2 linked regions of the Struthio camelus genome follow. The protein of the gene in region 1 purifies or fractionates together with the protein of each later gene. This does not show direct contact. Links are inferred from orthologs where the notes say so. Each region holds a gene or a part of one and is shown on either strand. Other genes may lie near its edges.

Evidence for each region.
Region 2: the proteins of H2AX (region 1) and GON-4-like protein purify together in Homo sapiens (affinity purification with mass spectrometry; 3 studies listed by BioGRID and IntAct, counting the BioPlex papers as one, with this or other methods). This does not show direct contact. The link is inferred for Struthio camelus from reciprocal best matches to the Homo sapiens genes H2AX and GON4L.

Annotation. Positions count from the first base shown.
Region 1 is NC_090963.1:90,399-96,899, reverse strand, and holds H2AX (histone H2AX), read right to left. Parts: upstream 1,557-6,501; 5' UTR 1,442-1,556; coding exon 1,010-1,441; 3' UTR 513-1,009; downstream 1-512. Other genes in the region: DPAGT1 (UDP-N-acetylglucosamine--dolichyl-phosphate N-acetylglucosaminephosphotransferase), read right to left, coding at 4,419-4,484, 5,672-5,827, 6,199-6,286. UniProt on the Homo sapiens protein: Variant histone H2A which replaces conventional H2A in a subset of nucleosomes. Nucleosomes wrap and compact DNA into chromatin, limiting DNA accessibility to the cellular machineries which require DNA as a template.
Region 2 is NC_090971.1:4,005,256-4,012,631, reverse strand, and holds the start of GON-4-like protein, read right to left. Parts: upstream 3,008-7,376; 5' UTR 2,970-3,007; coding exon 2,663-2,969; intron 831-2,662; coding exon 609-830; intron 1-608. Other genes in the region: SYT11 (synaptotagmin-11), read left to right, coding at 3,734-3,767. UniProt on the Homo sapiens protein: Has transcriptional repressor activity, probably as part of a complex with YY1, SIN3A and HDAC1. Required for B cell lymphopoiesis.

The sequences.
Region 1 (6,501 bases):
AGACTAAGCTGTGACAGCACTAAAGAAAATAATGTACGTTCAGTAGTTATAGAACTTGCATAATCCTTTGAATACTATTTGGGCCTGTTCACTCATCAGAAAGACTGCCACGAGGGAGCTGAATAAGGCTCCTAATACAGGGGATCTTCATAGTAAAGTTCCAGGGACACTATGTTCATCATAGGTCTCAGGTAAAGAATTAAGTTTGAAGTATCAGACCTAAATTTGCCATCAGCCAGTAATTAATTATGATGGGAAGTAAGTGGGTGGCTCGTTTATCCCTGGATAGTTATAATCTGAGACAGTCATTGGTATACGATAGCTAATCAACTTTGAGCTAAACTTGAAGAGGGAAAAACAGGGGTTGTTTATGCCTTTTTCTATAACTGTTGGCTCTTTCCTTGTACTACAGTTCAGAGTTGACATGTCCAGTTCCATTTGCAGACTCTCTCTCCAGAGCTCCTGCGTTACAGTGCCTTGTAGGAACACGGACATGGCATCTTACTGGGGTATCGTTTTGGAAATGAAGCATTGTTTATTCTCGAGGCAGCGTCCACTGAACGTAACAGCCAATAAATACAGTTAACTTAAAGGACCCAAAGGACTTTGGGGAGCAGCGCTTGTATTTACAGTACTTTTGATCGCAGTGGAGCGGGGTGGCGTAGGAGTTTCAGTGTAGGAGTTTCACTCCGTTATTGCCGGGGCCCCCAGCCAGCCTGGCTCTCCCCCCCCCCCCCCAGCCCCCCGCGTGGAGGCCGGGGCACCCAGGCCCGCCCCCCGCGGCTGCAGGCGGAGGAAGTACGTGGGGCGAGCGCAGGAAGCCCCCCGGCGGCCGGAAGGGCGGCGCGGCGCGGACCATGGCGCCGCCTCCGGGCGCGGCGGCGGGCCGCGGTGGCGCCCCTTCCCCCCCCCCCCCCCCCCCCCCGCGGATCGCAGCTCTCTCGCTGAGCAATGTGGGTGGCCCTGAAAAGGGCCTTTGTGTGGTGTCGGTGGGGCTCGGCCGCCCGCCCTAGTACTCCTGCGACTGCTGCCCGCCGCCCTTCTTGCCGGCCTTGGCGGGGCCCGCGCCGCCGCCGCCCGTCTTCTTGGGCAGCAGCACGGCCTGGATGTTGGGCAGCACGCCGCCCTGCGCGATGGTGACGCCGCCCAGCAGCTTGTTGAGCTCCTCGTCGTTGCGCACCGCCAGCTGCAGGTGGCGGGGGATGATGCGCGTCTTCTTGTTGTCGCGGGCCGCGTTGCCCGCCAGCTCCAGGATCTCGGCCGTCAGGTACTCCAGCACGGCCGCCAGGTACACGGGCGCGCCGGCCCCCACCCGCTCCGCGTAGTGCCCGCGCCGCAGCAGCCGGTGCACGCGCCCCACGGGGAACTGCAGCCCGGCCCGCGACGAGCGAGACTTGGCCTTAGCCCGGGCCTTACCGCCGCTCTTGCCACGGCCAGACATGGCGCCTCGCTACGCTGTCGCCTCGCACCCTCCGCGCAGCAGCTGCGTCGCGAAACGGGGCGGCGGGCCCCTCACCCAGCCTCTTTATAGCCTCTGGCAAAGGAGGGCCAAGCTCATTGGACAGCGTCGCCGCGCCTCGCCGTTGGTGCGTCGCCTGGAAGAACCTTTGTGCTGACTGGTCGGTTTTGCCATCTGACCGCGCTCGCCTCGAGTCCATTGGCGACTGCGACAGGCCAATAAGGAGGCAGGGCGCCAAATTCATACCGTGCGGGGCGGTTGGGGCGCGCCGCTGGGGGAGGGGTGCGGCGCGCTGTGGTAGGGAGCGGAGCGGCGCGGCGGCGGCGGCGGCGGCGGCGGCCCCGGCCCGGCGGTGCGGCTCTCGCTGTCTGCCGCGGGGCTGCCGTTTCCCCCGGCGGGGGGCAGCTCCTGCCGCGAGAGCTCCTCGGCCGCGCCGACTGTATCGCAGAGAGCCGCTTGCGCCTCTGGACAGCCCTGAGGCAGCAAAAGCATTTACACACGAGTGACAGTACCCCTGAGAGGAGAAACATCAGGTTTATTTTGGTCAGCTCTGACTGTGGCACGTTGCCTGCAGGTAACAGTTCTAGATCAGTGCCAGATAACAAGCTTTAACTGTGTTGCCTGCTAGGTTATGTAAGGGCTAGTCACAGTACCCCAAAGGGCTAGAGGAACGACAACAGGTGGGGGACCCCAGTGACCCCATCAGCATGGTGCTGCCCTAGCTAGGCTGCTCCTGGGACCCTCCAGGGAGGTGGTTGGCCTCAGGGCCTGGGCCCCCTCTGGCAGGGGCACCTCCGGGGTGAGCTGGGCGCTCCCAAGATGCCCGCAGACTGAGGGTCCCTGCCTGCAGGGGTATGGGGCTCACAGTGGGGTACCATGAAAGACCATTGGGGGAACGTGCAAAGCTTACTGTGTGATCCTTTCAGGGGATTGTGGGAATGCGTGAGACTTATTACGAGTTGTTTAGCGGAAGATCCGGGAAGGGAGGCGTTACAGGGGATTGGGAGATAGGAGCACGAGAAAATACAAGGTAGGAAGTGGGGAATGCTGTGCGTACGTATGTTGCTGGTTGGTAGGTTTGGTAGACCGTGGTCTGTCCTGTCCTCTTAGTAAAGCATTTCTCGCTTTTTTTGCGGTGAAGGGACGCTCTATTCTGTGTGCACGTGTATGCATGGAGGTCTAAGTGCCAGCACCTGGAGTTGGACCACCGTCCAAAGAGGCCCATGAGTCTGTGGTACCAGCAACTGGGGGGGACTGGAGTATGTGCAGGTTGTAGGTGAGTGGCTATGTCAGATTGTGTAATTGCTAGCGGACATCAAGTCGCACTAGCCAGCAAGCAATATGCTTCAGAGCCAGGTATCCAGGATCAGATACTACAGGGACCAGGGTCGGCCAGTTACCTACTGGAGGTGGGTCCAAGCCAGCCGCTGGAAAAATCGAGGCGGGGCGAGGAGGGTGTCTTAAGAGTCAGCTACTGGGAAGGCCGTCAGTCTGGACCAGCTACCAGAAAGATCTACTTGTGTGTGTCTGTGTGTGAGGTCAGAATACAAGCAGCTGGAGTGGGGCTGCTGGCCTGAAGGATTCACGTACCCTGCTGCCAGCAACTGGGGAGACCAAGGAGTCCAGGGGCCGGCTACTGGCCAGAATATCTAAGGCCAGCTACTGAAGGGATCCATAGTGTGTGTAGATACATATGTATATATATGAATACATTCTACTAGCAGACTGCTATCCTGACCAGCTGGTCAGGAGGATTTAGGCTACTCGTATCTTTCACGTTTGAGTGCTTTGTTGATCTGTGTGGCTGGTCATATGCATTTGTACCTACTGGGAACTCATTCTTAGCCTCGCTACTGGCTGGACCTGGGGCCATCGAGATGCAGCGACCTTGTATCTATTAGGCTACCAGATTTGGCAACTTTTAATGTCACCCATCTCGGTGTCCGTATCTTTGTAGTTGTATTGTTCTGCTTTTCATTCCCATCAGTCTCGTGCAGAATCTTTAACCTACTGCTGAGGCTCCAGTGGTTCTCATGTGTTGTTCTGTCAGGTAGGCAGCAATTCTGTGGTGAACTATGATGCCAGAAAATGCTATACGTGTAAATAACTGCAGCCTGCAGGATCTCGGTCCCAGATTAATACAAGGCTTTATTGATGTCCCTGTGCGATGAAAGGACATGGAGACCCTTACTCTGCTAGCCTTAGAAGTGTCCTACTCCAGGAAGGAAGACAGATGATAAAGCCGTTCAGAAGTTAAAGCCCTCTAAAAAAAGAGCCTGGAATATTCCCAGTTGCTGTGAAAAAGGAGGCAGTCTACTGTAGAAATTAACAGCCCCCAGCAGGGCAAAACCCACAGGAACGTATCACGCCATCTGGTTTCCCTGTATGTCAGTATTCTTCCTGTGACAAAGCACTGAAGGGGAAACCGTACCATAAGTTATTTTATTCTCAGAGTGCTCTGAGTTTTGGGTATGACTTATAGCACGTTATTCTATGTTCATGGACCAAAGATAGGACTGGCATAGACAAGAGGGGATTCTGGTTTACTTGTTCTGCTATACAGAGTCCCACAGAAACTGAAGTTGCTGTTTTATCTTTCAGGGAATAGTAACATGCTTATTTCTATATAGAGCTTTCATCTCTTCCACTTTCCCTAAGTACTCTGAGTAGATGATCTGGGTCATGTATGTTCCCCTATGGAAGGTATTCCCAATAACAATGATATTCAAGTAGCATTGAATCTCTTCTGTCAGCAGAATCAGACAAACACCTTCTTGTGCACAAAAACAAGATCACGGTTCAAGACTGGCCGGTGCAGAGTCGTTGCTTGCATCTTAAAAGGAGTCCTGAGGTTCTCACAGGGCCAGTATAAGATCATTCTAAACGTTTGGTCAGCAGTCGGAGAAAGTAAAAGAGCGACTGGAAGGTGCAAATCTTTCCCCTGCTCCTGGCAACCCAATCAGACATCGTAGAACAAGCGCACTAGCTGGTATCGGATTGAAAATGCAATTGTGCTGCCCAGGACCTAGGTAAAAACAAGAAAGACGTTTGAAATCTTACAGCGGTAGATATTTTACAGGCTGGCAGATTCTTCTTTTCCAGATGGATTTCTGGTGCTGTCAGACATGGTTTATTTCACTAAATGACAATATCTCAGTTAAAATATTTAGGTGTCACAAGATGAAAAGTAGAAGTTTGGCCAAAGTTCTCAGTTCTCTGCATCAGAATCATAACTATCCATGGGGGAATTGGGTATGTGCCTGTGCACGTTCACATTGTCAGACGATGCAGAGGTGATGAACAGCTGAGAATAACTCTTTCCTCCTTAATGAGCCTGTCTTTCAGTGTAACCCTATTGTTTGTAATGGGAAGTGCCTCATCTCAAAGCTATAATTCAGCAGCCTTTCAAACAGTCACTATCTAAACTTCTCTGCCGTGACTGGGATCAAGATGTATGTACTTCCTATCCTCTTCCATCCCTGAGGTAGTCTGCCTAAGCCCTGTTCAGTCTCCAGGCTTGTTTGTTGGAAGTCTTCCTCCTCAATTTGAATTTGCCTAAGTGTCTCTTCTCTTTTCTGATGAGACACTCTCATATAAGATGTATGAAAAAAGAATTTTATTATGGGTAACTAAGCGATACAGGCCCCTCTAAAAATAGAGGGCCTATAATATCAGGCAAGGGAGTTCACATGCTGAATAGAGGTAGCAGACAGCAGTATCTGTGAAGTATGTTACCTTTGTACTCTAAGTTGCTTCGGAAAGCTACCGCATCCTGCTCAGACTCCATATATATCATTAAGATACATACCAAACCTATGCAAGGCTACTAGCTGGAGGTAACGCTGGTACTGTGTTATTTGGTATGGTTAAAAACCAGAAACATGAAAAAGGCTGTATTAGGTCAGACTGACAAGGCAAGCACACAGTGATACTTTTCCTACTGTTTTTTCCGGCATCTGGCGATTTGTGCTTTGGGGAATCATTGGGACTTTGTTAGCTCTCAATGAGCAAAGTCGAGGGCAGGGAGGGGAATCTATTTCCTCTTTCAGCTATGGTAAACTTTGAATTCTCCTCAGGTTCCACAGCTCATTTGCTGCTTGTATGAAAGTATGACATTTTTCTCCCCCCATTCACCGTGACGCTCTTAAGACTGACTTGGATCTGTTTCTGTTGCAGAGTACATCTTTCTACCTGAAAGATCATGTGTCTGACCTGGATGAGTAGCAACAGGAGAGTGAGAATTTGCTCGTGGGTGGGTCCAGTCAGCTTTATAACAAAGTTAATAAGTGTCATATTATTGCACTCGGTGTATTCGCCATCTTCATCCATTCCACTCCTCACATCTACTATGTGCAAGATCTTTACGGCCTGGGGAAAGAAATATCATCGCATGCTATTTCACCAGGTATGTTTGCTGCTCACCATTTGGTGTTGCCTAGGATCCCTTTTGCTGTGCCCTCCCAGTGGGGTTTGACTCATGCTCTTACTGAAAAAACAGGACAGGCTTATGAGGGTCCTGGGACAACTACTAGGGTATGGTTACTTTAAAAGACCATTATTAATATGACTGAGTGTCCATGAGGGACAGTGACAGGATTAACGAGACTGTCTTCTTCTGGAGTTGAGCTAGGAATTAACCACTGTATTCAGAAGTTCTGCCTTGCCTCCCATCCTCTTCCTCTTCCATTTGATCATTACCTCAGAACATGTCTAGATTTCACTTGTCTTTCTCATATTACCTTCAGAATGTATGTTCCCAGGGCTGAGAGGCTCTTAGTTTTGAATTTGGAATAGCTCATCTCCAACTTCCCTGTACTAGGATTGAGCCTAAAAGAAACATTAAAATTTTAGGAGCAAGAAGATAGAATGGTCCCTGTGTAATCTGATGTCGATTGCTACCTGGGTAGTTCAGAAGTCAGGCCGGGGGGGGGACACAGAAATGATCTGATATACATAACAGCACCTGCTGATATGGTCCCTCAGATCAGGCAAAGTTGAGAGAAGATTCCTTTCCCCCCCCACTTCCCCCAAATGTCTGCATA
Region 2 (7,376 bases), on another chromosome or scaffold:
CACATCCAGCACATTCAGACAGTATGAGACTAAAAAAGAGCTGGAATTCTGTAGATACTAAAGTGGCAGCAGCTTTCCAACAGCTGATAACGAAACCTTCCACATGGAAGTGGCCACAAAGACTAGACACAGAGGATTCAAATTCTGCAGGATCTGAATGAGTCACATTAGTCAAGCACACAAACGTTACGTATTTGACACCTCCGCTAGAGCGGAGATGCTCTTTCAACCCTTTTCCAGATGTTTTAAGTAGCGAGTCAAGCTTAAAACAGTTGCAAAAATTCAGACACCATGAAGCAAAAACAGATTGCAGTTTCTGGGACTTAAAGGGGGTCCCAAGTGGCAGTGTTTTGCTGACTCAGGGCAAAGAAGGAATCAGAACTTCCTCTAAAGGACAACGGTGTTTTCAGTGACTGAAAATTACAGAGATCAACTCCAGCAAGTTTCATCTGGATACCTGAAGCTTATTTAGCCACTGTATTACAGAACACAGTATGAAAACGTCAGAAACCGTTGCACTTAAACAGCCCCTTGTCATGGTGTAGATGCTTCCAAGTTCCGTATCTACTACAGTAAAGTCACAGGTCTGTTCCTTGCACAAAGCTTACCCAATGGAATAAACAGCCCAACATCCTCATTTTCCTCATCAGTCTGCTGGGGCCACTCACCAGCTCTGGTGTTCTTCAGTGGCTTCATCGTGGCAGGATTTTGAGCCGCCAGTTGCAAAGAATGTCTCAGTGGAGACTCCTGCCCTGCAGAACGGCTGTCAGTCGGATGTGGATCTCTCTGCAAAACTACTTCCTCCTCTGTATGCTGTTTAGGCGTTTTCCCTGTAAACAGTATACACCAGCTTTCAGTTAGACATGCCATACAGACACAGCTGAGCAAGGTTAAGAGCTTACCACATGAAGCTACAGTACAAAAATTTATTGTGGCCGATTCAAATCTGTTAAATCAACTGCGCAAGTAGGGCTCCCTAGCAAAGCAATTCAGATAAGCGAAACGTTTCAGCAGCGGTCCCATGCTAATATTCTGATGGAAACAAACACAGGTTAAGAGACCCTGGGCTCCAGCTATTTCAGTCTTGCTCCCTCCATTATCTGGTTCATCAATTTCGCATAGGTAGGCTCAAAATCCTAGCTGTAAAGTGATCTAATCATTAAAAAAGCAATGATTTGTTTAAAGCGTGGTCACGTTCCCTGTTGTATAAACAGAATTGCAGCTACAGAAATGAACGGCTAGGGGCAGGCATTCCTTTACTCAGATACTTTATTTGCAACCAGAACAGCATACTTGACTGCAGCCTTAGGATGCAGTCTCATGGCCACCTTAGGCTAATTTAAGAGTACCCTACTGCTGAAAGGGGTAGCTACACACCCTCCCCACTCCTATTCTGCACAGTCCTAGAGGTTATGTAGGCCTGACAGAAAAACGACCACTGCTCCAGCCCCCTCCCCTTACACAAAAGGGCTTTCATCAAATCCCTGAGCTGGGCAGTCAAGCAGACGAGTGAGCCCATCCAGACGGGGAGGAAGAAACAACAACTCCCCCTGCACACACGCTTCTGGCTAGATCAAGTCTCCAAACTCGCTGTACGCAGAGACAAACACGCACACCAGCCAAAGAGGAGCAGAAGAACACGCAGTTCGGGGAAAGAGAGGGACCAACCACTTCTTTCAGCGGACTTGAACACGACTGGACCTACAAAACCGGCTTCGTTTTGCTCACGAACGCTCCTCCCGTCTCCTTCCCGTGAGCTCCCATATCACAGCTTCACTGGCTGAACCCCTAAGGAAGGTTTACCCAGGCTTTTCACATCAACGCAGCACTTCCAGAATACCTACGTTCTGCAACAAACGGGTAACTTTCTGCTAACAAAAGCCCCGCTTAAACTGGCTCTTGTAAAGGATCACAGCAGGGTCCCATACGAGCGCCACTCTAGATAATTCTTTCAAGCATTGTGAAATCTGATCTTCTGCGAATGAAAACATACGCACAAGAGTCCGCAAACAGTATTTTCGGAAAAAGCAGCTTGCACCTTCACCAGTCTTTACGTATCGCTAGCAAAACGTTTAAGTTTAAAAACTAAACGAAAGCCATTTCAAATCAAAGCCGGTATTTACAAAGGCTTGTCTGCAGACTAATCAAGAGTGAAATATCCTGCCCAAGACAATGCTACGACATACATTTATGAACGTTATTATTACGACTGATCGCTACGTAGAGTCCACAGATTAACCCCAACAAGGGCAAAACCAGGAAGCTCTGTGTAAGGGCTGGAAAACTGAGCGTTTCGCTCAAGCCAAGTATAACAAACGCGAAATCAGAAAGAAACTACTTCTAAAGCGTTCAGCGCTTGGCCGGGCTAAAGACAGGCATCCTAAGTGCTCCTTAAGCTTTCTGCGATTTATAGGGAGGAAAACAACCTCTAAAAACGGAGCGTTTGCCAACGTCAACGCTTCAGAGCGACAAAAAAAAAAAACACGCTCGAGATGCCTGGCGTGAACCAGCTGGCGAAACTCCCCCTCAGCGCCGAGCAGAAGTCCCAGCGCCAGGCCGAGGCCGGCGACCGGCCCGTCTAGGCGTTTCCGAAAGGCGTTTCGCGAGGCCTCGCGTACGGGCGGCGCGAGAAGCGTTGCGGGAGGCAGCTCGAGAGCTTTACCGTCGTCAGCAGGCTCGGGCGGAGGCAGAGCCTCTGCTGCGGCCTGGCGACCGTCGGCGCCCTCCTGGCCGGCACCCGGCGCTGCCCTCGCCGCCGGCCGCTTCCCGCCCTTGAGGAAGGTCTCCGCCGGCTCCCGCCGCGCCTTCGCGCCGGCCGGCGAGCCTCTGGCGGCGGGGTCGCCATCGGAGGAGCCGCCGTCGGCGGGAGCCGGCGCCTCGCCGGCGCAGCCCGGTTCCCGCGGGCTCTGCGGGCCCGCCACCGCCGCTTTCCTCTTCTTGCAGGGCAACGTCTTCAACGAGAGCGACATCCCGCTCCCGGGCGGCCTGGAAGACAGCGAGAGCGGCTGCTCGCAGGCCGGGGGAGGGGGGGGGGGGGGCCGCCGCCGACCGCCGCCGGCCGGGCCCCGCCGCCGCGTCCCGCTCCCTCCGCAGGAAGCGGAAGCGCCCTCAGGCCGGGCGCGCTGCGCACGCGCCGCGCCGCCATGTCGGCTGGGGCGCGGGACGGGCGGCCGCCATGTTGGAGTAGCGGGGGAGGGGGGAGGGGGAGGAGGCGGCCGCGCCGCCATCTTGGCGCCTAGGCGGGCTCCGCGGGCAGCGGCCAGGCCTCCCCCCCGGTGACTCCAGCCTCCTTCCCCCCCCCCCCGCCACCGCCGCCGCCGCCGCCGCTATCACCCCGGGCGGGGGCGGAACCACCCGGCGCTCCCGACTCGGCGGCAGCGTACTGCCGCGCAGGGGGGCCGCTGCCGCTCCCCACCGCACACACGCCCTGACCACTACCCCCCGCGGCGGGCCGGGAGCGGGGTGGTCGCCGCCGGCTGCCCGGCCCCGCTCCCGCGGCGCGGCGGGGACCGGGGCCGCCGACACTTGCCGAGTCACGGCGGGGCGGGGCGGGGCGCGGGGCGGCGCCTGAGGCCGGGCGGGGCCTGCGCTGCCTCGGGACCAGTCGGCAGCTCCTGCATCCCGGGCGCGGAGCATCCTCAGGGCGGGGGGGGGGGGCTGCTGCTGCTGCTGCCGCCGCCGCGGCGCCTCCGCACCGGATCCCGCATCCCCACCGCGCCGGCCTGGCTCTACCATGGCTGAGATCGCCAGCGTCCGCCCCAGCTTCGGTGAGTGGGGCCGGGCCGGGCCGCACGGATCCCCCGCGCCCCTTCCTTTCCCTTCCCTTCCCTTCCCCGCGGGCGGCGCGGAGACGGGGCCCTGCCCGGCGGCGGCGGCCATCGCCGCCATCCCCTTGCGGCCACGAGCCGTGCCGCCGCTCCGCGCCCTCCCTCGGGAGCGGGCAACACCCATCGCTCGCCACCGGCGCCTGGCTCCGCGCCAGCGACTCGCCCGAGCTACAAACGCCGCCGCGGGCCTCGGCGCTGGGTGGAGCCGGCGGCCCCCCGCCGCAGGTGCGCGGCCGCGCCGGGCCGCGGCGACTCCGCGCCGCATGACGTGACGGCTGTGGCCGCGCCGCGCCCCACCAGCCTTTTGTTCGCGCCTGCCCCGGGGGGCCGCCGCTCGGGTCCCGCGGGGGCGGCCGCGGCCCGGGGCGGCGGCTCTGCGGCCCTCGGCGCCGGCGGAGGCGAGAGCAGGTCCGCGGGCTGCCGGCAGCAGCGCGGGGGCCAGCCGGGAGCTACGCGAGCCCGGTAAATCGCTCGATGCACAGCAGCCCGGACCCGCGCCTGTGCCGTCACGGTCTGGCTCCGGCACCTGCGGAGCGCGGCCTCCTTGCTGCCTGGGTCACCGGCAAAACGATTTCCCCGAGGTTCTGCTCGCCAGGTTTTAAGAAGCGTTTTGCCACCCCTTGGGTCACAAGGTGTGGTAATACAGCGTTTGCTGTACGTGTCAAATGTGGTTTCTCAAATCCTGAAGATTGGAATTGCTGCCTCTTTCTGCCCTCCAGCTATTGACTGACCTTCCCTTGAGGCCGTAAGGCCCCATCGTTAAAGCACGTTTACCACGTTTCCCTTATATTCCGAAGCACTTAATTCTAATTCACCACACTATATCATTTATTTAATGCACAATATATCTGTTTACACTTTACATTCCATGCCTTTCATGGAATCCAAGAGCCACGTACTCTCATAATTTAACTTTTGGCAACCGGTAGCCATTACGGTATAATGAGAGAACATCAGTATTAAAAGGAAGTTCTCAATGATTCTTCATTAGTTGAGATATATTGATTCCATGTCCAAAAAAGGAGTTTTTTGGCTCAATTAAATCTTAGCATCACATCAGAACCCCTTCTAAGAAATTTGAATAAAAAAGCTTGGTTCTGCTCTTTCCTTTTAGAGGGAGGAGACAAGATAGGCTGTGGTACCATTTAAAATGATCTAGCACTTGCTGTTGTCCTCTACCTAAGGAAACATCAAAGGATGCTTCAGAACAGAAAGTATCAAGCGTTCTGCTTTCATTAAGTTATTCTCGAGTTGTGCATTACTCAGGTATTTATACATCGTGAGGCTCAAATATTTGCTTCAGACATTCTAAGCGCTTCTCTATGCACAAAGTTGCAAAAGCTTAACCAAAGTTGCTTTTAGACTGCTTTAGGTCATTTTAGTTTACAACTCTAAAGGAATTATGGAAACAGGATTACTAAATGTATGGAATGATTATATAAAGTAGGAGTCTTTAGCCAGGAAAAGAGGGGCATCGCGACCAGCATAGATAAAGAGAGTAGGGAAAGATTTTTCACTGCTTCTTCTAATATAAGAACAGGCATCAGATGAAAGCAGCTGGAGCAGCCTCAAAATAAAAAGTTGTTTTGTCTTGTCATATAATTTCAGCTACAAGGCATTATTGAAAGCCAAGTTTAAAAGCTCAAAAATGATTAGGTATTTTAATGGAAGAAAAAATGGAAGAAATCATAATGGAAGACAATCACAGAGGCCATTTCTAGTGTGATTGCTGGTTGCTTCTTCTAAAAATTGTCTATCAGATCTACAGGAAATAAAAGTACAAGAGGTAGGCTATGAAGACACACATACAAAAGAGAAAATCCAGCCAAATTGAGATCAGAACAAGAAAGGATAGGAGTATCAGCGTTTGCCCCTTTTTTGCATATGGTCTGAAGCTTGCAATATCTGGGCTGAATTGCAGTATTCTATTCCAATTATCTGTTAAAGATCATTTGCCACATTTCAAAAAGGGAACATTAAATAACAAAATAAAGATATATCTGTAAGTGTTTCGTTAATGTTGTTGTGAACAGCTCTTGCTTTAGTTATTCTAATGCCAAGCTACACTTGCAACGGGGCCTGAGGTAAATTTATCCATGGAGCCAATCACCAGGTGAAAGTCTTCCAGCTTCAGTCTAGGAAGACTCCTGTCTAACCAAAAGTGGTTTTTCTATTTTTGCAAAAAGAAAATATTTTGGTCTTTTGAAAATTAGAGTTTTCACTCAGCCTATTAAATGTTCAGATGATAATCTGTCAGTCTTGCTCTCTTTCCTGTTAGCCTCAAAGAATAATAACATGGAAAGAGAGAGAAAATACAAAACTAAGGTGCTCTCTACAGTTTCAAGTATGAGGTTGGAAGATTTTTGCTCCTGCTTGTGATACAGAATGAAAATATGAAAATCAGACAAGCTTACCTGTTGTCTTATTTGTTCTGTTTAGCTGTTGTCATGACAATGGTTTTTTGTTTTTTCATTTTACTATGGAAGCAGTTTGTACAACCTGTAAAGAAAGAGACGTGGAGCTAGAGGGGTGAGGGGTTTTTTGTTTCAAAAAAAAAATTGCTTTAATGATGATTAAAGCAGTAATACCACAATAATAATATCAACATCATAATAATAATACTACCAATAATGCTAAAACATTGCTTTTAGTGACAAGTAACTCTCAAGATAAACTTAAATTTAGACTATGTGTAAAGATAAACATCCTCAGAAACACCTGCTTGTTTGCTCTTTTAATAAATTAATCTATCTCCATTCTTTCTTAAGTTTAAGGGGGGCAGAGGAAAGTCTTGCAGAAGACATCTACGCAACAGAAAATTTTAATGTTACACGAATTATAAACAATTTATAATATTGTGTGTAGAGAAGGAAGAAATGTATTTCGATGAGGGAGCAGTTATATGATGACTGCAGTAAAGATGCACAGCGATTCCCTGCCATGTGACACAAAATGCATTCTGCGCTAAGTGATGCTATTGGAGGAAGAGCGGTTAGGCTTAGAGAGCCTCTTCCCTCTCCCCTAGTCTATTAAACTACCCACGATTAGTGTGTGAACATTTCATAATGTAACCATCTGCCTTTTTTGTCTTGTTTTGATTAGCAGCGAAATAATGCATTGCCTGCAAAATGAGAAATCTTCTCTACGATAATCTCCTTCGCTGAAAACCTTTCAGTATTGCTAGCACCAGTGCAATTTCACCAGCAGGAGCACTAGTGAAGATAAGGCACTGACAGTGACCGCCATTTTTTACCACCACTTTTATGTCACTACGCAGGTTTAATTTAATGTGGTGCATCCATAAGAAGAGATAGATAGGTTGCTCAGTCAAGTGTTAAGTATTCCCAAGAATGGAGGTTCCGCAACCTCTCATCCCTTTTCCAGTGTTTGGCCACCCTCACTGTGATTTTTTTCCCCCCTAGTATCTAATTGGAATTTCCTTTGGTGCAATTTGTGTCTGCTGCCCTTCATCCTTTTGCTATACATCTCTGAGAAAAGCCTGGCTCTGTCTCTCTATAACCTCCCATTAGGAAACTGAAGTCAGCAAAA